Drosophila melanogaster: one gene and its partners. Changing the gene in region 2 together with the main gene of any one other region gives a genetic interaction. Each region holds a gene or a part of one and is shown on either strand. Other genes may lie near its edges. The genes, in order: jar, kermit, fy and mwh.

Region 1 (7,886 bases), on a different chromosome or scaffold from region 2:
TAATAAAAAGTATCTATATATTATTACCCACATTCTGAAGATGATAATGGAAATTGAATATCATCTCGATAGACACTCCATATTATTCCCGATTTAAGTAGCTGCCTTTCCCTAACTGTAGCGACTGCACGGATTTAGAAGCCATCCGCTGGGCAACCAGTTGAACTTGTTTTAGCCACAGATTTTGCAGCTGCCAGTAGCCACTACCAAATGGGTTCAGAGTGATGAGTCACTCGGGCTAAATGGTCCAACTTGGCCCATCCGAATAGCCCAAAAAAAAACAAAAAAAAAAAAATGTGGGGGGAAAATTGGTCGAAAAGCAATTACACTTGCAACAATAGAAGTTGCAGCTGTAAAATTTATGGCCCGAACGTCACAGGAACAAGAGTTTGCTTCGCTTAACCGAAAGCGGGAAACGCAACGGTGACGGGGCCAGAGTTCACTGTACCGTAAAGCGTTGGCAAGCAAAACGCTGAGCATGCGCAAAAGTCACAACCGAAACAAGTTTTTCGTAGCGTTTTGTTTTTCAATCTTTCTCTGTTATTTTTGCCATCCCTGTCCGATTTTGTTTTTAATTTTTTTTTTCGTATTTTAGTTTAGTTTAAAGTTTTTCATATGCCCCACAAATGCCGAGTCGAGTGCTTTCAGTTGCAGTGCGGGTTCAACGACTTGGAATTGTTAAAAAAAAAAGATGAAGCGTAGAGAAGGGGGATTATGTAAGGCGAAGAAATGACTGTCGATAGTTAAACGTCGAGCAAGTGGAACCAATTAATGCGGACCAGTCAAAAGAAATCCGAAAAAGCCGGAAAACTACCGACAATTGAAAAGCGTTTTTTTTTTTTCCTGTGAGCCAAACGGCAATTAACGCTGCTCGTTTCCTACAATTCGGAGATGCAATTAAAATGCAAATGCTAACCGCTGGCTATCCCACATCCAGACCCAGACCCAGATCCGAATCCCATTTCCATTCCCATTGCCATTGCCATTAACCAAGTCATTTTACAGACGTTGATGGATTTGTGTGACGACCCTATAACTCATTTTCCACGACACATGTTCACAGATTTTCCATATGGTGTGGACCTGCAAGTCGTTACTTTGCACTTGGCGGATATGTGAGCATGGGGGAAAAAAGCATGGATCACTTCGTTTATTTTGGGTCACATTGGGGGCTTTGTGTTAGCCAGCCTTTGTTTTTTTGGGCGGCCTGTGTGTGGTGTTCCCAAATATGTGTTATCGTTTCACACTTAATCTTATCTCAGTTCCCCAGCACAATTACCCGTTTGACGCTAGGCAGAAAAATAAATAGCAGGTAAATATAATTCAGTTTCGTTGTAATGAGAATAATATAACCAAATTTATTGGCCACACAACTAGCAAATTGCAGAAAGTCGAGCCTCTTTCCCATCGAAAACTATAGCTATGCAAATCTATTTTCAGTCCCTTTGTTTTAAATGATTGTTTAACGATTGAAAAGTTATAAATAGACTGACAGTCATTAATCAAACGAAAGTAAAATTTTTTGACAAAAAAGTTGCAGATTATGGGATTATGGATTATGAATTTAAATGTTACTGTAACTATAAAAATGGTCGTATCATTATCATCATACATGATTCACATTAGTTAAGTGGTTGAAGTTTAAGCTTGAAATAATTTATTTATTTAGTGTTTAAAAATGAGTGCTATCTTATCATATTTACAACTGTATTCCGAATATATAGTTTGAATCACCGTTGATATATTTTTGAACAGGAAACTGAAACGGAACTTTCATTGCATATATTGATCCAATATTTTATAAGCACGTGTTGCGTTGGACAAACCAAAAAAAACTAATGTACATGAATAAAACAAGAGGGGCATGTACATAAAAAATCCATCAACGATGCCACGATAGAAGCAAAATACAACTGGAATTATGCTAATCGACTATCAAAACAAAAGCTGCAATTAAACCACACACTCTGGCTGACTTTCACTGCGAATCTTTGAACAATCGTCGGCCGTTTCAGTGTTTCTCTTTTTGTATTATATGCAAATTGGTCTAACGCATCTCGAGCCCAACTGCTGGCCACTCCAAAAAGATTGGTTTGCCTCCATTCGAGAAACTTTGGGCTACATATCTGTATAACCCGTCGAAGGTTCCATATAATTCATATAGGCAGCTGTCGGCGCTGACAATGGACGGCAATGGAGATCAGGATTGTGATCCTGCGATCCTGTCAGCTGTGTGGCGCGTGTTGGGAATTGCTTGCCACCCGGCGAGGGGGAGGTCACGTCGGTTTGAAAGGGGGTTGAACGGGGCTTGAGTGACAGCCAGCACAGGGACAACAACAGGACTTCCTCCAGTGCACCGCAAAGGATCTCGAATTATATGGAATTATATGCGCGACACCCTTGTGCGAATATTAGGTGAAATGATACAGTGATACCTCAATAAATCCATCAAATATTTATTATAAAGTAAAATGTCTTGGTTAAAGGGAAATGCAAATAGGTAAGTTAGTTTTAGCACCCATATAAACATTCTTGTTTGTTTCTAGCCACCGATTCCCGTGAACAAGGACAACATTCCTCACCCCCCCAGAGAAATATAGATACCCTGGCCACATGAAAGGGTATCGACGAACCCGTTTAATTGGCTTTAAAGTGTTCAGAATAGGTTGGGCACGTCTGCAAACATGGACACGCATGCGCAGGAGCGGCGTCCACATCCCTGCTCCTCCAGCTCCTACTCTGCCCCTATTTTCCACATAAATAAACGAAATGTGCCTCGAATGGGAAATCAGACGGCCAGTCAGTCGATCGGGGAGAACGACACTTGTGTCCCTGGTTGACAGGGAAGGGAGGGGGGTGTGGCTCCAAGAAATGTTTGCTCATTTCCGCACTCAATTAAAATGGTCGGGACACAAAACTATCTTTGAGTTTGCTTTAAAAACACAACAACAACAACTGTGAACTGACGACGTTGACATGGGCCCCTGTCTATAAATAGAATTATGTACATACACACACATATGGACACATGGAATAGGGTGCATGGTTGTGGGTGCGGGATGTGGATGAGGATGCGTGGTAGGAGGACAGCTGTGGGAATTGCAGGAATGGTGGTGACATTTGCTGTTGCGACTGCGCACTCCTTTTGTTCGATTTACGGTCACGTTTTCTGTTTGAACCTCCTGTTCTATAGAGAACTAATAATATTGGAGGGCAAACAAAACAAATATGAGTCATGGTTAGAATAAGTTTACCAAAGCCAGAAAAGAGCTAAATTCTATGTAACTACTTGGTATAGAAATTAATAAAATGTAATGATTAATTGTACTTTGGTTTAGTTTATGTGCAAAAAACGATTCCCAGTTGAAAGTACTCATATGTAGGGTGCAGTCACTTCCGCGATTGCTAATCGATTTCTTGTTTGCAACACTGGCATATTGTACATAGGTAACCAATTTTCGTGGACAAGAATGTGCCAATGTCAGGCGGAAAGGCGAAAAGCGCAAGTCAACAGAAAGCAAAAGGCAGCAAATCCGCCTTCACAGGTGACCACCACTCGCTGTCAGGCGGTTATCCCCTTACCCCTATTCCTCCAGAGAGATATTGGCCACTTACCTTAAGACGGCTGGAAATCTGTACGTGCGTAAGTTACTGGCAAATGGGGATTATGTTTCCGGGGACGCACACGAACACATTGATGAAGGCGCAATCCACTTGGAATCGATCTCCTGCGTGGATTTTGTTTGGTTCGAATTTAGAACTTGCAATTTATAGCCACGATACACTATTTCCAAAAGTTTGTAACACTTGAAGTATTTTCAGCTGGGTGTTGTGTTTGTTTGCCTCGGTTTTAACAGTTTAGATTTAAGATTCAAGCGGCGATCGGAAGGCGACCAGCACGAGCGTCTCGAATCGCGTACCGTCGCGTTGGAGAGTCGAGTCGAACTGAAATCAAATCCACAACAATCCACTTTTGGATTTTCGACTTCGAAAAGCAACGGCACCGAAACAACAACAAGCACGCGCAAAACAGCTGACCGCTAGAGGTGCCACCACCGCTGCCGATAGTTAGGGCGCAAAATCTGCCCTGCAGTGTGACCAGAGATTAGTTTTGGCGCTAATTTTAAATATGCGTTACTTTTCAAATCCATAATGGTTAGATGGGTTTTTAAGATACTCATTTTCGTAGATGCAGTAGTTTTTACTTATCCTATTTGTGTAGCCAGTTCTAAACTTAAAGCTTGGAATATGGTAATTTAAGATGCACCGCATATCAGTATATATAAACAGTATACTCTTCAAAAAGATTCACCGCTGATCGTGCTGTTTTTAAGTTTAATTATGAAAGATGCAAACGAAAATGGCCAAGTTTGAATGGAATGGGTTAAGAATGCGGTGTTATCGAGTGGTTCACTCTTCTGCAACACCTGCATCACGACTGGTCCACAGTCGCAGTGGTTTATCCGTCAGAATGTTGGATAGTGTTGTACTCAGTTCTCAGTACTATACTATAATTATTTCAGCAAAGCAAGAAGATTTGGCAACTTTTCAAAATATAGATTTCGATGGCTGCACAACGGTGCGTTCTCATATTCTTGTTCCCTATATATTTTAAGTTTAGTGACGTGGAGCAGGACAATTGGTTCCCACATACCGCCCGTACTCTTTGTAAAAGTTCCAAGAGGGGTTGTTTAATGAATAAAAAGTGAGGTGACTAATTATTTTCCTGTCCTTAACTTTACCAGCTACCACCACCACCTGGATGCATTCTGGGGATCAAATATTCCGCCAGCCTTTGTTGCAAATATTTAGATAAATAACACTAGCGAATGAACGAGAAACGAGTGTGAAATAGGAGCCATTGTATCGTACGATTTTCCGTCTTTGATTTTTCGCTCTCATAATGGGTCAGCGCCCCGCTTATTAATTGAGCTCAATCAGGAGCGTCTTTATTAATTGTCGCAGGGGTATATTGTGTTTTACTAACTATAGTAAGTTATAAGTTATAAGTAAGTATGGTTGAACCCTTCTAACTTTGTAATACTAGATTTCAAAGTTGAAGTTACTTGGTGTACTTGCTTAACTATAAGATATAATTTTCTAATGAAACTAAGTTCTTTTAGCTGATGAAAACTGGTATCTCAACGAACAAGAATGGGTATCTCTTAGTCGCTAGACTCAACTGCGACCATTTCTTTGTATTTTTGCAATACCCGCTTAATTGTCTGTCTGTCGCAGCGCAGCTCAATTGGAAGTGAAAGAGAGCGCGTAGGTCTGAGTGATCGTGATCGCCTGATTGACAAACGACTGCCATCGGATGAGGCATTCGAGTTTCCACTTACCTGGCTTACCTGGCTGCAAGCGGCTGTGCAAATGGAAATTGGTAGAGGCTTTCCCCGTAAGTGGCCGGGGATCGGTGTAATTTGCTACCAAAAACGACTAGGGGTGGCTCCGTACCATGTTAGTCATATCTCCACCTTCTCCTCGTCCGCCTGAAGTGGTTGTATCTGGGTATTGCTATCTTGGTATTAGAGACCCGCTCTCCCGATTCCATATCGATTCCACTGAGAGTGCGCATGCAGCCGGCGTTTGTTTGCCGTTCTTCTTTTCGCATATAACATAAACAGTCGGATATATCCGAGCACCAGAGAGGGTCGGATATATAGCCGCCTTTGCTGTTGTCCCTGTCGGTTGGCATGAGCTATTGTTTTTGGCTTCGGTTTGGTCTTGGTTTGGTTTGGATAGTCAGTTCGGTTTCGTTGGCCTGAGGTGACGCATCTAGATAGCGGGTTGCCGGTTTCTTTCGCGAAGTGCCCTTGTTTTTCCACCGCGGTTTCACTTCCTCTCCCTGGCCAACATATTTGGGCAACACGTGTTGGCCGATAATTGCCGGAACCGAGACGGAGAATTCTCGCTCTCCCTCTCTCTAGGGAGCAAAGTACACGTCACAACGGAGCAGAGAGTCCACTCTATTTCTCGGAAACTTGCGAGTGCGTCGACATCACGAGATTGTGCCAAAAAAGCATAGCGTTTCCGATTTGGTGTTTTATTATACCGGCGCCACTCGACGAAGTCAGTTGCGCGAACGGAATCTAATATTTAGATTCGTGGACTCTGGACAAAAGTGTTGAGTGTGCAGTTTAGCCATGGGCTACGATGAGGCCATCATCCATCTGGGTGATTTTGGACGCTATCAGAAGATCATCTACTTTCTCATCTGCCTAACATCCATACCAGTTGCCTTCCACAAGCTGGCCGGGGTGTTCCTGCTGGCCAAACCGGACTTCCGGTGCGCCCTGCCCTTCGAGAATGGAAGTAGCTACGACTTGCCCACCCACCTGTGGAACCTATCGTATCCGGAGAATGAAAGGTGCTCCTACTACGATGTGGATTACACGGAGGAGTACCTGAATGGCAGCATTCCACGGAGCAGCAACGAAACCAAGACCTGTTCCAGCTACGTTTACGATCGGAGCAAGTACCTCAATAGTGCGGTGACCGAGTGGAACCTGGTTTGTGGCAGGGATTTCATGGCAGCTACCAGTGATTCGCTCTTCATGCTGGGCGTGCTTCTGGGCAGCATTGTGTTTGGTCAACTGAGCGATAAGTACGGAAGAAAACCCATCCTCTTCGCCTCACTGGTCATCCAGGTGCTGTTCGGTGTTCTGGCTGGAGTGGCTCCGGAATATTTCACCTACACGTTCGCCAGGCTGATGGTGGGAGCCACCACTTCCGGAGTTTTCCTCGTGGCCTATGTGGTGGCCATGGAAATGGTGGGTCCGGACAAGCGCCTTTACGCCGGCATCTTCGTCATGATGTTCTTCTCCGTGGGATTCATGCTGACGGCGGTCTTCGCCTACTTTGTCCACGACTGGCGCTGGCTGCAGATTGCTCTAACGCTTCCCGGACTAATTTTCATGTTCTACTACTGGATCATTCCGGAATCCGCCCGCTGGCTGCTCTTGAAGGGACGTAAGGATTGCGCCATTGCCAACATGCAGAAGGCGGCGCGATTCAACAAGGTGGAGATCAGCGATGAGGCTTTGAGTGAGCTGCTCGATGAGGGAGAAAACTCGGAGGAGAAGGCCAAGCAGAAGCTGGAGGATCAGGAGCTGGATGAGGGACCACCGCCCTCCGTGTGGGATCTCTTCTGCTACCCCAATCTCCGGCGCAAGACGCTGCTTATCTTCCTGGACTGGCTGGTGACCAGCGGCGTGTATTATGGTCTCTCATGGAACACCAGCAACCTGGGTGGCAATGTGCTGCTGAACTTCGTCATCTCGGGAGCCGTGGAGATCCCGGCCTATATATTCCTGCTGCTGACCTTGAACCGCTGGGGCCGGCGATCGATCCTGTGTGGCTGCCTGGTGATGGCCGGTCTCAGTCTCCTGGCCACGGTCATCATTCCGCAGCGAATGCACACCCTCATAGTCGCGTGCGCCATGCTTGGCAAGCTGGCCATCACGGCGTCGTATGGAACCGTTTACATATTCTCCGCCGAGCAGTTCCCAACCGTGGTTAGAAATGTGGCCCTGGGCGCCGCCTCTATGGTGGCCCGGATCAGTGGCATGATGGCACCGTTCCTCAACTTCTTGGCCACCATCTGGAAGCCACTGCCGTTGCTCATCTGCGGATCCCTGACCTTGGTAGCCGGATTGCTCTCCCTCCTGCTGCCGGAGACGCACAATAAGCCCATGCTGGAGACCATCGCGGATGGCGAGCGCTTTGGCAAGAAGACCAAGGCAGATGTCTACCTGGAAACGGGCCAAGAACTGAGAGCACCAGAGGCGCAGCCACTCAAGGGATCAGGCGAGACAAATGGATCAACCATAGCCAATGGCCACAAGTAATAGTTAGACGCTGGTGTTGAACTTTAAAGTTTCAAG
Region 2 (7,555 bases):
TTACGGAGATGTTTAAAAATACATTTTGCACAACCAACAATTAACAGGTTTTCTGTATTGTATGTATTTGCTTAAAGGGTGTATCAAAAATTACAAAGTAGGCATAAAGTATCAGAGAATGGTATTACATTTTTCATTTGCGTAATGCACGATAAAGTTGTTATTATCAATTGAGCTGTTTTCTGCTGCAATCGACGCTGCACTTGTTTTTATTCATTAGAGCGCACTGTCAAACACCCGAGTTGTTTTTTGTTTTCGTAGGTTTGTAAACAACGTAATTATCTGCTTAATATTATTTTTACTAAAGGGGGAAATGAGGGGAAAGGTGAGCCCTCAACTAGAGGTGAACCTTGATTTAAGTACCCATCGCCATTCCACTTCGTACATCTGTGCTCAACAGTCATCCCCAAAGTATAGGTTTTGATTGTTCGTAAACCTTGGGAACCCAAAGGTTGGTTATAGTTATTTTCAATGTTTGTTTGTAGTATCCACAAAACCAAAAGTAGTGTATTCCAATGCCAAAACTAGAGGTGCAGAGAGCGCAAGAGAAAATAGTTTTGATTTTTAAGAGCATTTTCTCTTTGCAAAGAGAGCGCAAAAGCTTTTGTAAAGCTTGCAAAAGCTCTTCAAACTAGTTATCAGTTGGGGAGATCTCCATTTCGTTGACTAGGTCAATTTTTTCGACTCAATGCGAAAATCGCCGGCAGCGCTGCCGAAAGGCGAGAATCCAGCGAAAGACCGCATGATCTTTGCTAACGGTGAAACTTAATTCGAAAAGTCAACATTTTGTGGGCAAAGGCACTGAGACAAGCAGAAAATTGAGCTTGCCATATCTAATGAAATCGAAGAAAACGCTGCACTGGAAAAATACTCAGCATAGGTTAAACATATTCAAACTGAAATTTCAGTTTAAAGCTGTTCGTTTTATTAATCCAGTTTAAACTTTATTGTTGTCCGTTTGGTTAAGAAAAATGCAAAATTTATAATATAATTATAAAATGAATATGTAATAATATCTGGCGTATTCGAAGAGAGATTTACTTTCCCCATTTCTATTGATTTCCAGTGGAACAGCCATCAGTTTTGACATTCATATATTATGTATACTAATATAAATCACTTAAGTTTTGCCTTTATATTTATGACATTTTAATCAGTGTTGTAGGTAATAATCGCTTATTCGAGCTTGAAACCTTAGAAAGACAATATATAAAAATATCTCCCTGTGTCGTGATGCTAATGCATAAATAAACAGTGACATCGAGCGGTTAGTCTAAATTACAAACAAACCGAAGATTGTAGTTGGCGAACGAAGACCCGACCCACTGCTAATATAAACAAGTATCCAATTTGCTATTTCCACAGATAATTCAGATGGACTGTGGGCGAAGCGAAAGCTTAAATGTCGCTTCGCCCTGCCCAATTATATGTTGGTATTATTTATGCACTGTTTTTGTGGCATTTTCCGATCACGTTTTCTGCGATTCCTGTGTTTCTCACTACATTATTCATAAATTGCTGACATTTTGCATTTGGCATGGTCCCGAACCAGAGTCGTTGCTCCACGATTCGATGATCCAGTGCAATGAACTCGCAGCCCTGGCTGAAACATATCGAATGGCCCTTTATGGGGCATATTCCACAAAAACTACTAATGTGGAGCACTCAAAACACCCGGGCACCGACATTAGGGTCTAGTTAGCATAATGCACAGCCAAACAACAATGAGCACCACACGCAACGTCAAGTATGTATATACATATGTATCTAAGTATCTACGTATGGCGAAGGGAAAACATTGGGGCAGTTTTGAAAACATTTAACCGTTTCACCTCGCTGAACTGCGAGCTCGAAAAAGCAAATTAAGCAAACGAATTATAGCCGAAAAGCCGTGGCAATGTTTGTTTTGGGCCAAGTTTACGCCGCCCGACAATCTAAACTCAAATATGAATTTTATCTCTTTGTAACGTTTCTCCAAAATATGTTAATCCGAAGGCTGTATTGTTTTCATCAGTTCACAAATTACGGGTGATGAAATCGGAGCGGAAATTCGGGATAATTAAAACTGGAAGTGGCAAAAAAAAACAATAATTGTAGATATATGTACATAAGCGCCAGTTTTTGTATCTGATAAACAATAAAATCCGATCTTTCTATTACTTCTGATTGTAGGCAAAGACAAGTATTTAGTGTGCAAAAAGATTGATCGCTGTGCCCAATCATGTATTAATGATATGAAACGACTGAGGAACTGTGGATAATTAAAGCGGAGTAGAAACATCACGCAGATGGAAAACATGCAGATTCATTCACACCAGTTCCGAGTACATCTGATACTGATTGCAAAAACGTTAGTGCAGTAATATTGCACATGTGCGGCAATGAGTGCGCATAAAAAGCGCAAAGTACGGCCATAAAAAGCACAGTTAAACTGATTGCCAACTGTTGGCATGACGGAGCAGCCCGTGGCAGCCCTAGCTACCAGACCAGACCAGACCCACGATTCTTCAACCCATTATTCCCAGCCACCGCTCATCCCGCTCGGACCATGCCGCTCCAGCTTTTCATAAAGCGCCCCGTCGCATTGAAATGTCACGCAAGCAATTTACATAAATGGAGTTGCTTCCGCTTGGTGAGCTGGAGAACGGAGAGCGCGGAGCGGACACAGTGCATCGCATCCAGGCAGAAGAGGAAGCTATCTTGTGTATCTGACGGGGAGTATCTGCCTATCCGAGCGCTGCTCACGTACGAAAACAACTGTTAGCAAGTGGCGAATGGGCGGGTAAAAGGCAACAGCCGATAGCGGCGGAGCGGAAGCGGACGAAGGAATCGAATCGATCAAACAATTTCCGAGCTGCTCGTCTGCCGAAAATACACAGCGAGAAATATGCCAGAAATCATAACTCGTTAAACCTAGAGATACTTATCTGCCTCAGTTAAGTTCAACTTTGCTAGTTTCTTATCTAAGATTATAAGAGCAGATCGAAGATCTTCAAAGAAACACTTGTTTATTGCTCTGTATGAGCTTTAAGCTAGAGCATCTTCGATGGGTTTCCCACTGACCAACTTCACGGTTAGTTAACACCTTAATTTGCCTACAAATTGCTCAAGTTTGGAGTTTTGAGTTTCTTTGGTCATGGTTGCGTCTTTCGTTGCCCCTTTCTTTTCGGCGGCCAGCTGAGAAGTGCTTGGCCAGATGAAAACTGAGGAACGGAAAACTCAGTGCGTAGACCCACGTGCTGGCCGCATTAACTTCACAGTTTTGTAAGAGGGAAAACGGAAAAGCGGTAATAAATGCCCCGATGTGCGTGCTGGCTGCAAAACTGAAAAGGCGCTTTATTATCGCCACTTCGGCGAGGCATTTTGTAATGTCTAGGCTGGAAAAATCAATTCGGCCGTGAAACTTCAACGAAAACGAAAAGCATGCTGTTTGCACCCCCGAAGTGCAGCATATTTTTGCGACGACGCACAGAAGCCGGCACCCTGGGAAATCACATGGATTTGGAAAGTCCTAACCTCAACATAATAGCGGAAAATGAACTAGCGACTTGGGGCAGGCAATGGCCACAAAGCACGGAAATGCCCCTTTCAGCGTTTCAGTTTTCGGGGTGAGTTTCGGTCTATGAAATCACTTCCGCTTACGCTTTTTTCCTCTGACATACAGACAGTGGGTGTGGTGCCGAAACACTTGTCACGCCACAAAACCAATGATTAGCCGCCCAGCAGCTGCAAAAATCGATAAGGTCCGTGGGTCAACAGCGTTTTGGCCTGTCTTGCCGGTTTTAAATGCATCCAAGTTTTTAAAAATGCCTGGCTGAAAGTAAAACAACTTGAACCACGAATCTTTTCTTTCGTCTCATCAAATGTTGTTTATCGATATTATTATTTTATCGATCGCCTTTGATTTCCTTCAATTTCTACCCCGGTAACACCACCTTCCCCTGCACTACAGTCTGCTTTAGTTAACTAGTAATCCCAGCTTGGAAATTGAAATTCCTTGTTTTTTTGTGACGCATTGCCTGTTGCCAGGCGGTTGCATGTTGATTTGGCCCACCCTCCTCCTCTCACCACACGTCCTGATGACTAAGAACGATTTCGCTTTCCTCGCTGCCGAAGCGAAATTCAATACAAAAGATGGGAAAACGCGTGCCGCCGCCTTTCACTTTACTTGTTCGTCGGTTGGCGCAGAAAAGAGTCTGTTAGGCAAATGAATGGGCAACCGACTGAATGGATGCCAAAGATGCTCCACCACCGGGGCGGGGTGTTAACAATTCCCGAAAGACAATGCAGTGTGTTGTTACGGAGCATATATAGTATGCATAGTTATAGTATATACATAGAAGATACCACGCACCAGAGAGAGAGAGAAACCCGATCAGACCAATATAATGTCGAAAGTGACGGACGGTACGGAACGCACCTGCTAGGCGATGGGCGCTGTGCTGATGACGCGCTGCTGCAATTGCATATGTATATCAATTTGTTGATAATGATAGTGGTGGCTATGGCCCGGTTTTAGGTATCGCCGATTTCCAGACTTCCAGATCGTGGGCCCGAGGAAAGCGCCGCTAATGAGCGAGGAAAGCGGACTTCTTCGTACCGGACCAGTTGGATGTCGTCGTCGTCGCCTCGCACACTCGAAACAATTTGTTCTTCTTTTGCCCACCAACACGTTATTGAATCTCTTTCACTGCCAGCTAACTGGTTTTTTCAGTGCTCCGCCACTGCTCGCCAAATACACACACATTGACCACTTTCCAGGGTTCTCTTTTCACTCACTCTCGTGCTTTGATGTCGCGATTTTACCGATCTACCGCCTGGGCGTTCAAATTGAATTTCAACCACGACGTCGTCGCACAATTCCGCTAATTAAACTAGTCGTCTCGGTTAACTAACGCCCGGAAAATTGTGGCCGCGCTGCGCTCGAAAATTCGGACCTCGCGCTGTAGAAATGCAAGAATAACAACAACTGCGCCAGCTGAGCGCCAGCTGAGCGCCAGTGTGGCCAGCCACTCTGTTCGCGGTGGGGAAACATCGATGCCGCCATCGATGCTGACAATCGGCCTATTGAGTACTTGTGGCTTAACATTTTCGGTGAGTTTGAAATTTTGGCGGTTAAGGTGCACTTACCAGATTTAAAGGAACTTAAGTTTTCGTGACAAGTTTGTATAGCATTGACTAGCCTCCACTATTTTGGTTAAGAAAATATAAAACCAGCAACAATAAGACTAATTGTAGACGGATAAAAAATTAAAATCTTAATAAGGTCACTGTAATGAAAATGAAGAAATGAAATGAACACAAGAACAAATCAAACAAATGTGCTTATTTCCTGGGGTAAATATCTCATACTGCATTTGACTAATGATATATATTATACTTTCAATCAGCAGAATGGTAGTCTAAGAGAAAAAACTCTTGCACCCAATATTATGACATTCCTCGACCAAAAAATAACAATTTAGTTGATAAATATTTATACCCAAGACTTAAGCTTCAATTTAAAAATAATTTAACCTGAAGTTCAGCAGGTGGTTAAAATCGACTCCGTTTGATAATTTAATTTCATAAATACATATATTTGATACAATATATGTAATTACATTAGCTAAGTTTGGTGATTTAAAGCAACATGTATCTCATTTTATAGGACGAAATTCTTGGGTGGATAGGAATACAGTTCCTAAGCGGTTCCACCGAGTTGCTTGGAAAGTTGCGATCAATCCACTTCCTGAACATGGACACATTTTTGAAGGTCGAGGAAACGTTTGGCCTGCCGCAATCGACGCCCCAGGCCACGATCCCGACCTGGTGATATCTAGCGAAGATTGCGTCAGGGGAACAAACCAAGATGGACCCACCGTCACCAACGCAGACATCCTTGTCCTTCTGTCCGCTGACACATATGAGACTGGTGGCAAGCTGAAACCTGGTTTTCCTCAACATATTCTGGCAATCTCCTTTGTTTACTATGGGTAACTCGATTTGCTTTTGTATACTCGACATTTGAGAGTCGTTAAAAGAACGCTTTCCCCATCCGGAAATCACACAGTGTGTCTGCTCAATGGACGACCCTTGAAGAGGTAAGCAGATGGGCTGTATGTCATTTTTAAATGCAAATGTAGACTCCAGGTATAGACAACAACAGGTGGGCTGCCGTTAGTACAACCTCAGGGGCAATCAGGGAACCTCCTCCAAAGAACGAGGACAGGGACGGATTCTCCATCTGGTGTAGTAGGGGTAGAATGGATACAAGCTGCGTACAAACTCTGTGAACCTGTAGTGCACTTACTTGAGCTCTTATTTCACTTACTTGAGCCCTTATTTCACAACACACTTAAGTGGGTCCACAGAATACATTAGTCGGTCGATGCCAATCGCCGGTTTGGTGCACTCCCATCGTTGGCCAAACATCGTTTTGGATAATAACAGGCGTGGCCACAAACCAACCAGCTCAGGAGAAGCACTCCTATGGTCTAGTGGCACTCCATTGTCCGATTCAGAAGACTACTTGCCGAAGACTGATATTGCAATAAGTGGTCTCAGCAGGCTTTCTTATTACATTTCTTTTTTGCTGATAAGAATAAAAAAACATGCAACACGCTTTCCAAGAAATTGAAAATTGTAATCGAATTGTTTTATATTTTATATTCACACATATTTCTATTTGTTTATAACCCAATAGGCTGGAATACAAAAAGGTAATCAGTATATACATAGATAACATCCACTTTATTCGGACTTTAAATAAGTAGCGATATGAGTGTTTAGAGAAGCACCCCCAATCCAAATTGATAACCCAGAACGCCGCTCTCACGAAGGCCCATTAGCTCAGTTGGTTAGAGCGTCGTGCTAATAACGCGAAGGTCGCGGGTTCGATCCCCTCATGGGCCACTCTTCATTTTTTGCTTTTAGCCGGATAACTAGCCAAGTCGATCTAGGCATTCCAGTCTTCCTCACTTATCATCTAATCGATGTAGACGCCCGTTCACGTAGTGACGAAGCGCACCCTGAGAGCGTACGAAAGTACTCAGTGAGCATTCAGAACACAGTTTTCTAAAAAACAAATGTATAGAGACATCAATGTGCTCATTTAGCTAATGGGCATTATTATTGGTCTCATGTCAGGAATAGATCTTTAATCGCATTCAAATTGCATATCATTTCGACCAAAGATGTCTTATTAATACGAAATTCAGTAATCGCAAGATAGAAACTTACGCCCGAAGGTGCAAAAAGGTCAAAAGGTGCAATAGGCCATTTTGCTGCGAACTATACAAATGAAATATAATTTAATAATATAATTATTGGAAATATATTAGTTTACTAATTGATTACGAAATCCATTTTCCTTGAAACTCAATGTACAAAATGCAAGCATAATATAATTATTATAAATAGAATATTAGTTTTATTATGTTACAGTTTAATAATCATTCATATTGCATTAAAACACAATCCTATGTTTTGAAACATAAATCCCCTCAAAATATTTGCTTTCTACGTACTGATCCTAAAAATGTAACTCATAATCACGTATACGCAATGTTGTCTT
Region 3 (7,066 bases), on a different chromosome or scaffold from region 2:
CATGAAAACGTAATCGCTATAAAAACAAATCATTGACCAGCAAAGCGTTAATTGAAAAAATGTAAAAAAAAAATGCATATCTCTATACGCAGTTCGTATAGAATTTATTTTAAAAGGAAAAACCATTGTTAGTTATTTTATACAATATTATAGAAATAAATTTATCAATTAATAAAGGATTATAGTTCGCCAAGTCTTATGACATAATAAATATTATTGAAGTTGCCTTTCAAATTTTGAAAAATATTATTGGCACCAATAATTTTTCGCTCTGCTTATCGATTATTCGATTACTTTTTATACCCAGTCCCTTTGGTGTGGTTACACTGGCTTCCATTCGCGGCTAAATAAATATAAATATAATGTAGTTCTTCTATAGAAATATGGGCTCCAAGCGTAGGCTTAGATTCCTTTTGGATGAATCCGATCAGCAGGAGAACAGCCCGGATGGCAATGGTCCAAAGAAAAAGCGGCTGTTTACACCAACGGACTTTAATATTCCAAAAGCGAATCAAAGGAGTTTTTTGGCGGAATCCACATCAAATCATCAAAAGAACACTCCTTCCAGGTTTCAGACAATGTGGCAGACGCTAAACAAGTCCGGCAGCAGCAGCAGTCAACCCGATTCTCTAGGAAACTCCAGTTTCTCATCATGTTCCCAGCTTCTGAACACCAGTTGGCCAGGAACGAGACGAAGAGCAAAAGCATTGCCCCTTGCTATCCAGATTTCCCCAAGAACTCCTCCCTCAGTTTCATATGAAGGACGTGAGACAAGCTCTTTATTCCAAAGTTCTTGGAAATCATTAATTAACCAAACCGCTTCCTGCAACGGGTCGTCAGAGAACATTGACTCTGATCCACCTACTCCTCAACGATTGCCAACGTCTTCATTCCAAACTTCTTGGAAATCGTTAAGTCAAAGCTCGCTGAATAAATCTAACTGCTCTGGATTGACCGAGGATAGCTATACCGAATCTTCTCCAGCTATTCAACTTGTTCCTAGTGAAAGTCCTAGGCAGTATCTGCCAAGTAGCCAAAATAGAGTCAATTTGAAGGCAAACCCTCGCTGTGTTAAAGGAGGCTATGCTGAGGAGTTCCGTAAAGTCCTCAAAAAAGTAAGAATGGATCAGCGTCAACTTAAAAACCATGCAGCCACTCACACGGCTAAAATTTTGTCTGTTACAAACCAGTATGGTGTTACCATTGCCCTAGTGGCTTCCGATAATGGACGTAGTTTCAATATTCTTCCTCCAAAAGGAGAAACCACACAACTTACAGTTGGATCTATAGTACAATTTTTTCTGGATCCAAGGATAAAGCCCTTAGAGCTAAACAAGAAACAACTGGTCTATTGTCGCCCATACAATGTTGTAATAAAAGGATAAGGACATATTGTATATTTAAAATATATAAATAGTATTTGTAAGGACGGAATTGTAAGTCATTAAAGCCATATTAGTATGTAGCATATACATATAAGATTTGTCAAAAATTACGCTTAACTTTAGAAAAGGAGTTGTACCCTATTGTTCGTTAAATATAATGTCATTTAAAAAAAAACATTATTTCATGGAAAAGTAGTAACAAAAATCAGTCTTTAGGCTTAGAAAGAAATATCGTATCACCAACATACTGACTTCTCCTGGAGTATATTAGCATGGATGCGTTGCGCAAGGAATCTGTAAATACAATACTGATTTTAAAACCTTGTCATCAAAGTAAATAATTATAATCGCACCTCATTGCGTGCGAGGGCACCGCTGCCACAAACAACAAGAATATGACATTGCCCAGCTCATCCATATGGGCATAGCACTTGTGGTAGTCCGAGCAGCTATATTGGTCCACTAACGTAGTTTTATTGCTGGACGACTGGGTTTCAAATTGGTGGACTGCATCCATAGTTTGATCGAAAAACTTCTTTAGAATGTCCAAGCGCTGTAGATCGCCCACAATGATGCGCTTGACACTCGCCGACTGGTTTAGATTTCTGGTAAAGAGACTTTTTCGCGTGTGTCGGTTAATTAGAATGATGGCCAGCACATTTCCATCGATCTCCAGATGCTCGGGCAGACTGCGCGGCACGCATCGCTCGGCGGCTGCCAAAAGGTTGCCTTCATTCCGGTAGGCACTCATGGCATGTGCATGCAACTCTCGGAACGAGGCATTCTCAGCGCCACACAGGACACACAGAGCACTGTTCGACGCCACAGGAATACTGACAAAGCGGTAGGCTATATGGGGACTTTTCACGGGCAAATAGACCGGCACATCGTGTTGCATTGTGCTCGACGAATTCAACAGAAACAGCAGCAGCTCGCGGTCCCGAGTGTCCAGATCCCACCAGCCCTCAGTGGCCACAGCGATACGGTGTCCCACAACCAGGCAGCAAAAGAGCGAGCCACAGTGGCCACTAAATTCATTTAGACACTGCAGCAGCTGGGCGTTTTCCGCCGCCAGCAGACAGTCCGTGTAGCCCAGGAGTTGTGTACCCGCACAGGCGGCTTCCAGAATAGCGTCAACAATCGGGACATACTTCTTGGCGTCCTTCTTCAGTCTATCGAGGAGCGTTGCATGTGCCATTTCTGCGGCCCGGGTAATGAACATGCCTATCGCTCCAAAGACAAGATCAGCCAGCGTCTGAAGCAGTTGCTCCGACCCAACACCGCAGCCGCACACGATCAGGGTGATGGATTCCCGGTCGCGCCATATGTAAGTCCACTCCTCGGCATCCGCGGGAGCCTGATTCTGGATAGGCTGCTGTTTGCTGGTCGTCGTGGCCTCCAGTTGGATTCCCAGCGACTTAAAGAACATGTGAAAGCCGTTTAAGGAGGCCACCGTCGAGAAGGGCAGCTGGATATGGAGAAAGGGTATTAACTAAGTGAATAGGTAGGCAATATGTTACTCTTACATTTTCGCATTCTCCCTTCTTTCGTGTAAACACTGGCAATCCGCCGTTTGTTGTCAAACATAACAAATAGATGGACATCGCAGCTCTTCTTCTTCGCCGAACCTGCTACGTATGATGCTTACATCGATTAAATCGATTCGTTTTGAATTATCGAAAATAAGCGATGCACTAGTAAATTAATATGATTTATTTTAAACTTTTATCTGAATTACTTGCATACTTTTAGTGTTTTAATGTAATAAATCAGTAAGATGCAGTATTTTGTAGCTGATTCAGGAGAACAGATCAAATTCAAATATATTTATGTCAATTTATGCATGCATGCATACTGGTTTGTTTTTCCATTAAATTAAACAGATAATATTTTTTTGTATTTTTTTTTAAAACATCGCTGCTTAAAACATCGATGTTTTTCGATATCAGGGACATCGATGTTTCTGGCAGTAAGTAAGCCAACAAACTAAGCATCTTCATCCATGCCATTTGATTATTTTATTCGATCAACGTTATCGATCACTTTGCGTGCATGCCTGTAGACCAGGGCTGTGGACGTATGTTTGTTCAGCACCATACGGGCACACTGTTCTCACAAATTGCATTTCGCATTGTCCGTCGTCGTCGTTTTCACACGCTGCTCTTTTCTGGAATCGGTAAAAGGTAAGCTTGATATGTGAATTACATGTTCATGATTGTTAATTAATTACACACTGCGTCCTCGCTGGCGCGTTTTGAAAAGCTAAGAAAATTTGGGAAATGCCGCCGCAGTCTTGTCGCATTTGCGGCGGCGATGCGTTCGCCTGTGCCAGTGTGTGCGTATGTGTGGTGTGCCGAGCGCTTGTATGTGTGCGAGTGCGAAAAAGTGTAGCGCGCGCAGGCAACAGCGTGCGCTTGTAGTTGTGTGTTCCAAAAAAATGAAACAAGAAAACAAAAAAGAAATATGGTTGCCTGTCGACAGGCGTAAAAGTACGCAATATGTATAACCAACGGTCTTATTTCCACAGCTTCAGGTCCAGTCCCGGCACCAGATCCAGATCCCGATCCAGATCGAGAGTCGCCGCTCCTCACCGTCATCATAGTGCGAAGAAGAAGAAGCTGAAGCAGAAGCCGCCGCGCACTTTCGATAAATAAAGTGGAAAAAAAAAACAGCAAAAACAAGAAATCCAAAGGGAAAAAACGTGAGATCCGAGCTCATCCGGCGGAGGAGGAAGCCAAGAAGCTATCAAAATTAACGCGGACACAACTGCAGAGCGACGCCGACGCGAACGCCGCTTCTACTACAAAGCGATGGCGACAATGTTGACATCGGACGAGGCGGGCAAGCTGCTCGACTTCTCCCAGAAGCTGGACATTAATCTGCTGGACAAGATCGTCGAGGTTGTGTACACAGCGCAGGGCGAGCAGTTGCGTCTAGCCCAGAGCATACTGACCACGCTGAAGGAGCATCCAGAGGCATGGACGCGGGTGGACAGCATATTGGAGTACTCACAGAACCAGCGGACCAAGTTTTATGCTCTGCAAATCCTCGAGGAGGTCATCAAAACGCGCTGGAAGGTCCTGCCGCGCAACCAGTGCGAGGGAATCAAGAAGTATGTGGTCAGTCTTATCATCAAGACCTCGTCGGATCCCATTGTTATGGAGCAGAACAAAGTGTATCTGAATAAGCTAAACATGATTCTGGTCCACATTCTAAAGCGCGAATGGCCACGCAACTGGGAGACATTCATCAGTGACATTGTCGGTGCGTCGAAAACGAACGAGAGCCTGTGCATGAACAACATGGTAATCCTGAAGAACCTTAGTGAGGAGGTGTTCGACTTTTCGCAGGGTCAGATCACGCAGACTAAGGCCAAGCACCTGAAAGACACCATGTGCTCGGAGTTCTCTCAGATCTTTACACTATGCTCCTTCGTGCTGGAGAACTCGATGAATGCCGCCCTAATCCATGTCACGCTGGAGACTCTGCTGAGGTTCCTTAACTGGATACCGCTGGGCTACATCTTTGAAACGCAGCAAATTGAAACGCTGATATTCAAATTCCTTAGCGTACCCATGTTCCGCAATGTGACCCTGAAGTGTCTGTCCGAGATCGCCGGCCTGACTGCGGCAAACTACGACGAGAATTTCGCGACGCTCTTCAAGGACACGATGGTTCAGTTGGAACAGATAGTCGGCCAGAATATGAACATGAACCATGTGTTTAAGCATGGTTCCGACACAGAGCAGGAGCTGGTCCTTAATTTGGCCATGTTCCTGTGCACCTTCCTCAAGGAGCACGGCAAACTGGTGGAGGATGCCAAGTATGTGGACTACCTGAATCAGGCGCTCATGTATTTGGTGATGATTAGCGAGGTGGAGGACGTGGAAGTATTCAAGATCTGTCTGGAATACTGGAACAGCCTTGTGGAGGATCTATACAATTCGGAATTCTTCCACCCCACCCTGGAGTCTACAAAGAGGCAACAAGTGTATCCCCGTCGACGTTTCTACGCCCCCATCCTGTCCAAAGTGCGATTCATTATGATCTCGCGCATGGCCAAGCCGGAGGAGGTGCTGGTGGTGGAGAACGAAAACGGGGAAGTGGTGCGCGAGTTCATGAAGGACACAAACTCAATAAACCTGTACAAGAACATGCGCGAAACGCTGGTCTTTCTTACCCATTTGGACTCTGTGGACACGGACCGCATCATGACGCTAAAGCTGCTTAATCAGGTGAACGGATCGGAATTCTCTTGGAAGAACCTGAACACGTTGTGCTGGGCCATTGGTTCCATATCCGGTGAGCCATTTTTGGTGTTTTATTCCCAGTCTGTACTTGGTTTTTATAAATCACAAACATTCATTCCTGATTATCATGGACCACCATTATTTCCGAGTATAACCCTATTTTTTTTTGTGCTTTTATCACTCTTCAGGTGCTTTTTGTGAAGAGGACGAAAAACGGTTCCTGGTCACCGTGATCAAGGATCTATTAGGCCTGTGCGAACAGAAGAAGGGCAAGGACAACAAGGCCATTATTGCCTCCAATATCATGTATGTGGTGGGACAGTATCCACGCTTCCTGCGCGCCCATTGGAAGTTCCTCAAGACGGTGGTAAACAAACTCTTCGAATTTATGCACGAAACGCACGATGGTGTCCAGGATATGGCATGCGATACGTTCATCAAGATAGCCATCAAATGCCGCCGCTACTTTGTCACCATCCAGCCGAATGAGGCATGCACCTTTATTGACGAGATTCTCACAACAATGAGCAGCATCATTTGTGATCTGCAGCCGCAGCAGGTAGTGGCTTTTTTTAATTACAATATTATTATACCTACATTTGAAGCTTAATCAGTAAAAGCTATACTAATGTATAAATTCATTTGTAGGTTCACACGTTCTATGAAGCTGTCGGCTACATGATCTCCGCCCAGGTGGATCAGGTACAACAGGACGTCCTCATCGAGAGGTACATGCAACTGCCCAACCAGGTGTGGGATGACATCATCTCCCGCGCCTCGAAAAACGTTGACTTCTTGAAGAACATGACCGCTGTCAAGCAGCTGGGCAGCATCCTTAAAACGAATGTGGCTGCCTGCAAAGCCCTGGGTCACGCGTATGTCATTCAACTGGGCCGCATATATCTGGACATGCTGAATGTGTACAAGATAACATCAGAGAATATCATTCAGGCCATCGAGGTGAATGGCGTCAATGTGAACAATCAGCCCCTGATCAAAACCATGCATGTGGTCAAGAAGGAGACGCTTAACTTGATATCCGAGTGGGTGTCTCGTTCCAACGACAATCAGTTGGTGATGGACAATTTCATACCGCCTTTGCTGGACGCTATACTGCTAGATTATCAGGTAACTTTCAAAACTCACAATGAATACATAATACATTAATACTAATGTTATTTTTCCTTATTTTGTAGCGCTGCAAAGTTCCATCGGCACGGGAGCCCAAGGTTTTAAGTGCGATGGCAATCATTGTGCATAAACTGCGTCAGCATATCACAAATGAAGTACCAAAAATATTTGACGCCGTCTTCGAGTGCACGCTGGACATGATCAACAAGAACTTTGAAGATTTCCCACAGCACAGACTTAGTTTCTACGAGCTACTGCAGGCGGTCAATGCGCACTGCTTTAAGGCGTTCCTTAATATAC
Region 4 (7,878 bases), on a different chromosome or scaffold from region 2:
AAAAACAAGAAATGTAAGTTTATTGAAAACTTAGTTCCTGGCTAGAGTATCCTGCATGCAAGTAGTTTCAGGGGCTATGCCGGTTTTCAAAACTAGTATTTGGTTTTCCACAACACATCTATTCGTCATATCCTATTTTGGGAGCCGGATAGTCCTTCTTAACATCCCTTCGTAGTTTCGGGCTAACCCACTCATGGCCTCGTTGCAGCTTCCATTCTGCATCTTCTAGGTGGCTCCAACTTTGGCTCCCTGGCGGATGAGTTCCGCAACGGTGGTGGTGGAGGAATCCCTCCAGCAGTTCGCAGTGGACAACAGCGCTCATTTCTGTCCCTCAAATGCGGCTACTTGATGGACGAGGACTCCAGTCCGGATTCGGAAAGGATGCAGAGTCTGGGCGACGTGGACAGTGGTCACAGCACGGCGCATTCGCCCAACGACTTTAAGAGCATGTCGCCGCAGATCACGTCTCCCGTTTCGCAGTCCCCCTTTCCGCCTCCCTTTGGGGGCGTGCCCTTTGGCCAGCTGGAGATGCTGGAGGCCACTCACCGTGGTCTGCACAAGTTTGTGCCGCGGCACCACGACGAGATCGAGCTGGAGATCGGCGACGCCATCTACGTGCAAAAGGAGGCCGAGGACCTGTGGTGCGAGGGTGTGAATCTCCGCACCGGAAGGCAGGGCATCTTCCCCTCGGCCTACGCCGTGGACCTGGACTACAACGAGTTCGATCCCACAGTGCAGCTGGTGAAGAAGGAGCGCTATCTGCTGGGCTACCTCGGATCCGTGGAGACGCTGGCGCACAAGGGCACCGGAGTCGTTTGCCAGGCGGTGCGCAAGATTGTCGGGGAGTACGGCAACTCACCGACCGGACAGACGTGCATCCTGGAGGTTTCCGACCAGGGACTTCGCATGGTGGATCGATCGGGCCCGAATGTGAGTAGGATACATACATATATACATCTTCATTAATAACCGATATAAAAACCGATTTCGTGAAACAGCAAAACAAAAAGGACAAGAAACCTTGCATCGACTACTTCTACTCCCTGAAGAACGTCTCCTTCTGCGCATTTCACCCTCGCGATCACCGCTTCATTGGCTTCATCACCAAACATCCCACGGTTCAGCGGTTCGCCTGCCACGTCTTCAAGGGCTCGGAGTCGACCAGACCGGTGGCCGAGGCAGTGGGGTGAGTCCTCAAGCAGTCATCCCCCCAAAACAAACGCTCGAATAACATGTTAACACTCCTTCTTTCAGCCGTGCTTTCCAGCGATTCTATCAGAAATTCATTGAAACCGCTTATCCCATCGAGGACATCTACATTGAGTAGGCTTGCAAGGCGGTTTGTGCATTAATCAATACGATATATTTTTTGTGCGGTTATTACGAATAAAAGCAAAGATAAGTCTCAAGAATATTTGCTCTTCTTCAAAGAGAATCTCAAAGCAAAATCAATAAGCTCGCAATAGAAACCCTAGCTATAGATTATTATCATTTATCCGTTTTGAACAAATGTGCAAGATCTTAGACATGTAAATAGTTAGTTAACTTTCGTTCAAAATCCCCACTTCACACTCACACTCACACTGAGCTTCAAGCAATCAGCAATAGTTGCCCCCTCTATAGGAACCGCCTTTAAACTCGAGTTCACTGGATATATGGACAGAAGCAAAAGAACACCTTGAACACCTTGAATTTTGTATCGGGAGTCAGTTGGGTCAGTTGGGTCTATTGTAAATCGGAGATAAGCAATTTGGATTGGTTATAGATATCCAGACCCTCCTGTAACCACATCCTTAACCTGGCAATGCACAAAATAGAGTGAGGCCAAAGTAATTTAGCGATCTTCGTGTAACCTTAGTTTAGTTATGCCAATCTTTCAGTTACCAGAGACTCAACAATATCGAACACCAGCTGCTACGTTTTGAAGTATTCTCAATTAAAGCCCAGTATAAGATGTGTAAACCTTTAAAGTTGTGTACACGCAGGCGAATATATACTGTATATGTATACAAAAGAAATATATAAAGAACCTATAAATCAAACTATATTGGATTATTGGGTGCTCAAGGAAGAAAGGTGAGTTTTATTAGTAAGAGAATGTAAGCCCTTTCATCTTATATTGTAGAACTTACCCAAAAGTATGCACTTAAGCTCAATTTATAGCAAGTTGATAGAATCCCGAAATGATGGTAGATAATATTTAGCAGCCTAAAAGATAACTTATAATTTGTAAAGTAAATTATTTTACACATAAAACATGTGAGTTTATCTCTCGCGGGAAATGAATTGGTGATTTGCATAAAATTACACGACAAGACAAGATAATACTAATCGGCTATATGAAGGCAATGGCCAATTGCAGTTTAGTTTTAAGATTAACTTGTGATGACTTGTTTTGAGCGGGCCATGGAATGGAATGATGGCCCAGAAGTTCCCATTCGGATTCCACATTAGTTTTATTTCACCGCACATTTACCAATGCGGATCTACGCCGGAAAAAGAAACAATCGCACATTAATGAAAACGCCCAGGGAGTGGAGAATAAATGGCCGAGCCATTAAAATGGCGATACATCAGTTAGCCTGGGGGCATCAATCATTATGCAATTTTCGCGAAGCCGGCCAGCAGCTTTGGGCCACTTTCTTCGGAGGTGGTTCAGTGAACGGGTTGTGGCGGTGGGCCTGGTCGGATCTGCCTTTGGGCAAAGTGCTCTAACAGGAGCAGCGACTAAGACTAACTAGTTCGTGTCGCTTTTAATGGAAATGGATACCCGAAGTAGCCTTGGCAGCGACTTTGGCTGGGTTTCGGTGTGGGAACTGGTTTCGGGGTTGGGAAAATCGCGCGGCACTCGCTTGATGCACTTGTCGACGTGCCCGGCCTCTTAACTCTATCGCAAATGTGGCCAATTAGAGATTAAACGACAATTTCAATTTAAAAACGCTTGTAAAACAGACCAGCCGAAAAGCCAACCTGATTTTCCTGAGCTGCCAGTGGCGGCAATGGACTTGTCAAACCGATTCGATATCTAGAGGGGATTGCCGATGCGTTTTAGCAGTCTCTAAATCAGTCAGTAATAAAAAAAATTGAGCTTCTGATTATTCTAGTACATTTTTAAATTCTCTATATCGTAAATTATAAAAGTACTATGCTATGTTCCTACTATCTATCGAATACGCATGCTATTATTCATATATATATTTTTTTTAATACTTATTTAATTAGGACACTCCCTTTATTAATTTACCTTGTGCAAACTGACAGAACTTCATTGCATAGATAGCTTCTGAAGCCGAAGCTCTCGGATAGTGACATCTTATCCAAGGGCTACCGATTCTCGAAGTGCATGAATGGATAGAACCGAAGCTCGTGGAAATCCCCCAAACAAGTTCGCTATCTACGCGCCTGAAGAGCAGCAGCTCCATGTGGAAAGCCACTCCGACCAGCAGCGGCAGTCGAGCCATCTGATCGCGGACTTCATTCAGTCTGCAACTCGCGTTTCAGCCAAGCAGACGCGGCTTAGAGCACAGTTAAAGCCAGGCCAAAACCGAAACTATAGCCAAAAGCCAAACGCGAAGCTAAAGTCGACGAGCTGGCGAAGTGAAGATCGGTAGAGTGGAGTAAATCAAACCGAGGCAGCTAATAAAAAGTGCTAATGGTGTGTTTAAAATATGAATAAACCGAGTATGCCTGAGCCACAAAAACGGTTACAACAACAACCAATGCCACAACCACAACGGTAACAATAACAAAAAGAGATTTTCTTTTTCGTGGGACGAAGAAATCGCATTTGCATTTCACCGCGCTGTTTGGTAGATTAAATTGGATCAAATCGAATCGATGGAAGTTCGGTGTTTGTTTGTGTGCTCGTCGCGGCCAAAAGTGTTGCTACTTTCATAAAAAGGTTATAAGAATCTGGAATAGTGAATAAATAAATGCAAATATTGGAGACCCGTTAAGCAGAGCCGCGGAAGAACGAACAATAGGATTTTGAGGGAGAGTCACCCGGCGTGAGTGGGTAAGTCAGTCAGTCTGTCTGTCTGTCCAAGTTCTGTGCGTCCATCTATCATGCCTTCACTACGATTTGTAACTGTCACAACAAACGGGTTGTTTTGGTTCAGCACTCCCGCCCGGCCAGTTGGGGAAATCCATAGGATCGTTTTACTGGCTGAATTCACCAATGCATTCGCTGTGTGCTCTGCATGGATCAAAGTTATTAAATAATTAATGACCAGCGGTGCAAAAAGAAAAACACAGATTGCTGCATGTTTGGGGCATTATTTACGGCCTGCTTAGCTAGACGTCCGTATCGCAGCTCTCATTAGGCCAAGCATGAAGCTCCAGAACACCCATCCCAGCCTCCCATCGCAGGTGCTATCCGGCCAGCTGGCTATACAGATCATTTAGCCATCGATTTGCATCTCGAAGAAAGCGGCTCGGTGGCTCTAATTTTTGGCAATTACATAAACCCCATGCCCTCGAGGGCCTGTTCCACAAATGATGCGGCTCCAACGAGCCATGAGCCACACTTTGGTAATCTGAGAAAACCAGACAGAAACCGAAACCATTTTCTCGAAGACGTTTATTTTTGGCAGGAACAAATGAGCAGATGAAGATCAATCTCTGCCCAACTGATCGGTCGCCACGGGTCTGTCCACACGGATCACTCTTTCGGCCACGTTCAGATAGGCCTCGTACTCCACAATGTCCGGCGTGGTGTCGTAGTGATAGTGGCCTCCCCAGTTTGCAAAGGAAAACGAGTGGAAGTGCTGCAGGCGGAGGTCCAGTCCCATGTCCTTGGTCACCAAGGTGCCCACTGCGTTTAGCTGGGCGGGCATTTCGTAGAACTTCAACCAGTTTTGGATCTGTTCCTGTGTGTGGATGGGCGTCTTGCTAAAATCTCGCATTACGTGCTGGTGGACACATCCCCTCCTGACCACGAACATTCCTCCCAAGCCCACCACCTGGTCTCCGTAGTGCCGTTCCAGACCCTTGCGAATGCATTCTACAAAGTTTTCCCCTCCAGTGCGCTGTTTTGCGGAAATTCGGAGCACTTGACCTGGTTTTCCCTCGCTGAGGAAGAGGTTCAGGATCAGAGCAGCACGAGATTCGGTTTCGGGAATCCTTTCGAGAACACAATCCTCATTCGCTCCCCTCACAGTGGCCGTGTAGCTTCCTTGAGTGAGTTCATCCTCTTCGTTTAGCGAGAAATTAAAGATCCCCTCGCAATTGGAGTGACGAATGGGCCACGGACCTGCTCCCGGTCCAACTGCAAAGATCTTTCCTGCTCCTTGGGTCCGCCGAGTGATCTCCTTCAGATTGTAGAGCTTATCTCGCTGCACCAAGGGCCGCAAATAGGGTGGCCCTCCTGCTTCTAGGAGAGTGGCCTTTCCGCCCAGTCCACGCTCCACAAGGCCAAACTGGGAGTCCCTTAAATCCGGGCAAGCTTCCACACTGACATCTACGGTCCGAAAGTTCTCATCCAGAGCACCCTGTATGACTGGAGAGCAGGTGGAAAGCTTTATTTGACGTATCCGCTAGATGAGAACTATTTTTATCAGCTATTCCACGCGGGAGTGCTCACCTCTTTTCAGTTCCGAGAGGGGCGGCACATGGAGTGGCCTCTCCTCAAAGAGCAACTGCTCCGTTTGAAGGTGACTCCCGTTCATGGTATCTCTGCAAATATTTCGGTACGGGTTCAGGGCCTTTCCTTGCTGGAGGTAAACTAGCGACTGACCGAAGCACCATCGTTTGGTAAAAATGTCTGTCATTCGAACGCCTGTCATGATAATGTTCTACTGATACAGGGCTTCCAATTTATAAAAGTATGTGGTTTTCTGGTTTGAGTTTCTATTAAATATACTATTTATAATGACCTGTTTTCAAAATAACAAAGTACTAACCTAGAGAAGTAATTTTAGATTTTGTAAATTTGGTTGGCCAGCTAGCTGATAAGCTATTTTAGTATTTGTTAAGCCTGACAGGGATTTGAGCAGATAAAAAGACTGTTTCTGTTTTCGAGCTTATGTTTTGTTTATTTACTATTATTTATTGGGGGTTGGGGCAATGGAAAAGTCGGCTACAACTAGATACGGCAGATAAGATCTAGTCGCGTCCCACTTTGTGAGTGGCCACGGGCTTATCCACCCGCACCACCCGTTCGGCTACGTTCAGGTAGGCCTCGTACTCAACGATATCCGGCGTGGTGTCGTAATGGTAGTGACCGCCCCAGTTGCTGAAGGAGAAGGAGTGGAAGTGCTGCAGGCGAAGGTCCAGGTCGTGCTCCTTGGTCACCAGCGTGCCCACGGCGTTCAGCTGGGCGGGCATCTCGTAGAACTTGAGCCACTCGTTCACCTCCTCGTCGCTGTTGATGGGCGTCTTGCTGAAGTCCCGCATCACGTGCTGGTGGGCAGCGCCCTTCTTGATCAGAAAAATGCCACCCAGACCCACCACCTTGTCCCCGTAGTGGTTCTCCAGGCCCTTGCGGATGCACTCGATGAAGTTCTGTTCGCCAGTGCGCTGCTTGGCGGTGATTTTCAACACCTGACCAGGCTTGCCCTGGCTGAGGAAGAGGTTGAGAAGCAGGGCGCACCTGGGCTCTGTGTGGGGTATCTTCTCCAGGACGCACTCCTCCTGCTCTCCCCTCACAGTGGCCGTGTAGCTGCCGTTCGTGAGCTCATCCTTCTCGTTCACGGACAAGTTGAAGATGCCCTCGCAGTTGGATCCCCGGATGGGCCAAGGTCCCGCTCCGGCGCCCACGGCGAACACCGTGCCGGGGCCCTGGATCTTTCGCGTGATCTCGGCGATGTTGTACAGCTTATCTCGCTGCACGAGGGGCAGCAGAAAGGGTGGGCCTCCCGCCTCCAGCAGCGTGGGCTTGCCGCCCAGTCCACTCTCCACCAGGCCGAACTGCTTGGCCTTCAGATCCGGACAAGGGCCCACACTGACATTCACATTGGCGAAGTTGGCCGCCAGGGCACCCTGTATAACTGTGAGAGAGGTAGGGTAACCATTAGAGCTTTATCTCGACCTCCATCTAGACGAGATATGGCAAAAGCTGAGCAAAAGCTCCACCGCCAATCATATGTTTCTGTTTCTGTTTGAGATTTGCTCAATGAAAACAGCAAACAAAAAACACAGAACGTAGAACCCACCGAAAACCGGCTGTGGAAAGTTCGGCACCGTTCTGCTGAAGGTCATTTGCACATGGCACGTATTGTTATCTGCGGGATCGCTGGGAAATCCAACTCGACTCACCGTTCTGCAACTCTGACAATGGGGGCACGTACAGCGGCTTCTCCTCGAAGAGCAGTTGCTCCGTACTCAGTTGGTTCTGGCTCATTTTGGTTGGAGATGTGTCCTAGTTACTTTGCTCCTTATTGCGATTCTGGCCTCGTTCCGATTCAGGTTTGGATTCCTTTCTCTAGCCCACCAAGTATTCTAGTCGCGCTGAGGCTACCTACCGCTCGCTAGATCGTTGCAAACACGACTGTCTGCTGAAACCAGATGGGGTCTCGTTTTTTAAAGTTGAGTGCTCGGCTCCCGGTTTGCCCTATAGTTAACATTGCTGGTACGGCCGGTCGGCACAGGGTGCATCCGCCGATAAGATAAACTCTTGTGCCGTATTTAGTTTAATTAGAGTCGAGATCGAGTTCTTAAGGTTCCTGCGGGGAGGTGGAGCGATCCATCAGCTCTCACGCTTAATGCGCATGTCAGGAAGGCGTATTTACGGTGCGGCTATTTCGTTACAGTAGCACCTCCGTTTAACGACCTATGTCAATGTGAGGCACACACTTTTCCATGAATGCCACAAAAACTTTCCACTTCGTTGTCACTTTCGCTGCCCGTAAAGGTTCTATAGGGCTCGGACCCTAAAATAAC

What was found.
Region 1: of kermit (region 2) and jar, changing one suppresses a phenotype caused by changing the other (phenotypic suppression), as found in Drosophila melanogaster (2 studies listed by BioGRID).
Region 3: of kermit (region 2) and fy, changing one enhances a phenotype caused by changing the other (phenotypic enhancement), as found in Drosophila melanogaster (one study listed by BioGRID).
Region 4: of kermit (region 2) and mwh, changing one enhances a phenotype caused by changing the other (phenotypic enhancement), as found in Drosophila melanogaster (one study listed by BioGRID).

The regions. Positions count from the first base shown.
Region 1 is NT_033777.3:24,267,284-24,275,169, forward strand, and holds the start of jar (jaguar), read right to left. Parts: upstream 3,951-7,886; 5' UTR 3,616-3,950; intron 1-3,615. Other genes in the region: Orct2 (organic cation transporter 2), read left to right, coding at 6,147-7,850. UniProt on the Drosophila melanogaster protein: Myosin is a protein that binds to actin and has ATPase activity that is activated by actin. Together CLIP-190 and jar may coordinate the interaction between the actin and microtubule cytoskeleton.
Region 2 is NT_033778.4:8,151,635-8,159,189, forward strand, and holds the start of kermit (kermit), read right to left. Parts: upstream 5,021-7,555; 5' UTR 4,780-5,020; exon of another isoform or gene 4,421-4,779; intron 1-4,420.
Region 3 is NT_033779.5:8,400,093-8,407,158, forward strand, and holds fy (fuzzy), read right to left. Parts: upstream 3,189-7,066; 5' UTR 2,990-3,188; coding exon 2,912-2,989; intron 2,854-2,911; coding exon 1,739-2,853; intron 1,680-1,738; coding exon 1,622-1,679; 3' UTR 1,386-1,621; downstream 1-1,385. Other genes in the region: CG31898 (uncharacterized protein), read left to right, coding at 384-1,385; emb (embargoed), read left to right, coding at 4,196-5,687, 5,824-6,194, 6,284-6,763, 6,832-7,066. UniProt on the Drosophila melanogaster protein: Plays a role in the organization of cell polarity via a planar cell polarity (PCP) cascade. Involved in the development of the hairs on the wings.
Region 4 is NT_037436.4:1,197,301-1,205,178, forward strand, and holds the start of mwh (multiple wing hairs), read left to right. Parts: upstream 1-3,485; 5' UTR 3,486-4,015; intron 4,016-4,570; exon of another isoform or gene 4,571-4,613; coding exon of another isoform or gene 4,614-5,497; intron 5,498-5,581; coding exon of another isoform or gene 5,582-5,666; exon of another isoform or gene 5,667-5,736; intron 5,737-6,015; exon of another isoform or gene 6,016-6,102; coding exon of another isoform or gene 6,103-6,986; intron 6,987-7,254; coding exon of another isoform or gene 7,255-7,339; exon of another isoform or gene 7,340-7,495; intron 7,496-7,878. Other genes in the region: Aplip1 (APPL-interacting protein 1), read left to right, coding at 1-13, 209-930, 999-1,186, 1,255-1,327; meep, read right to left, coding at 4,614-5,497, 5,582-5,666; CG9119 (uncharacterized protein), read right to left, coding at 6,103-6,986, 7,255-7,339.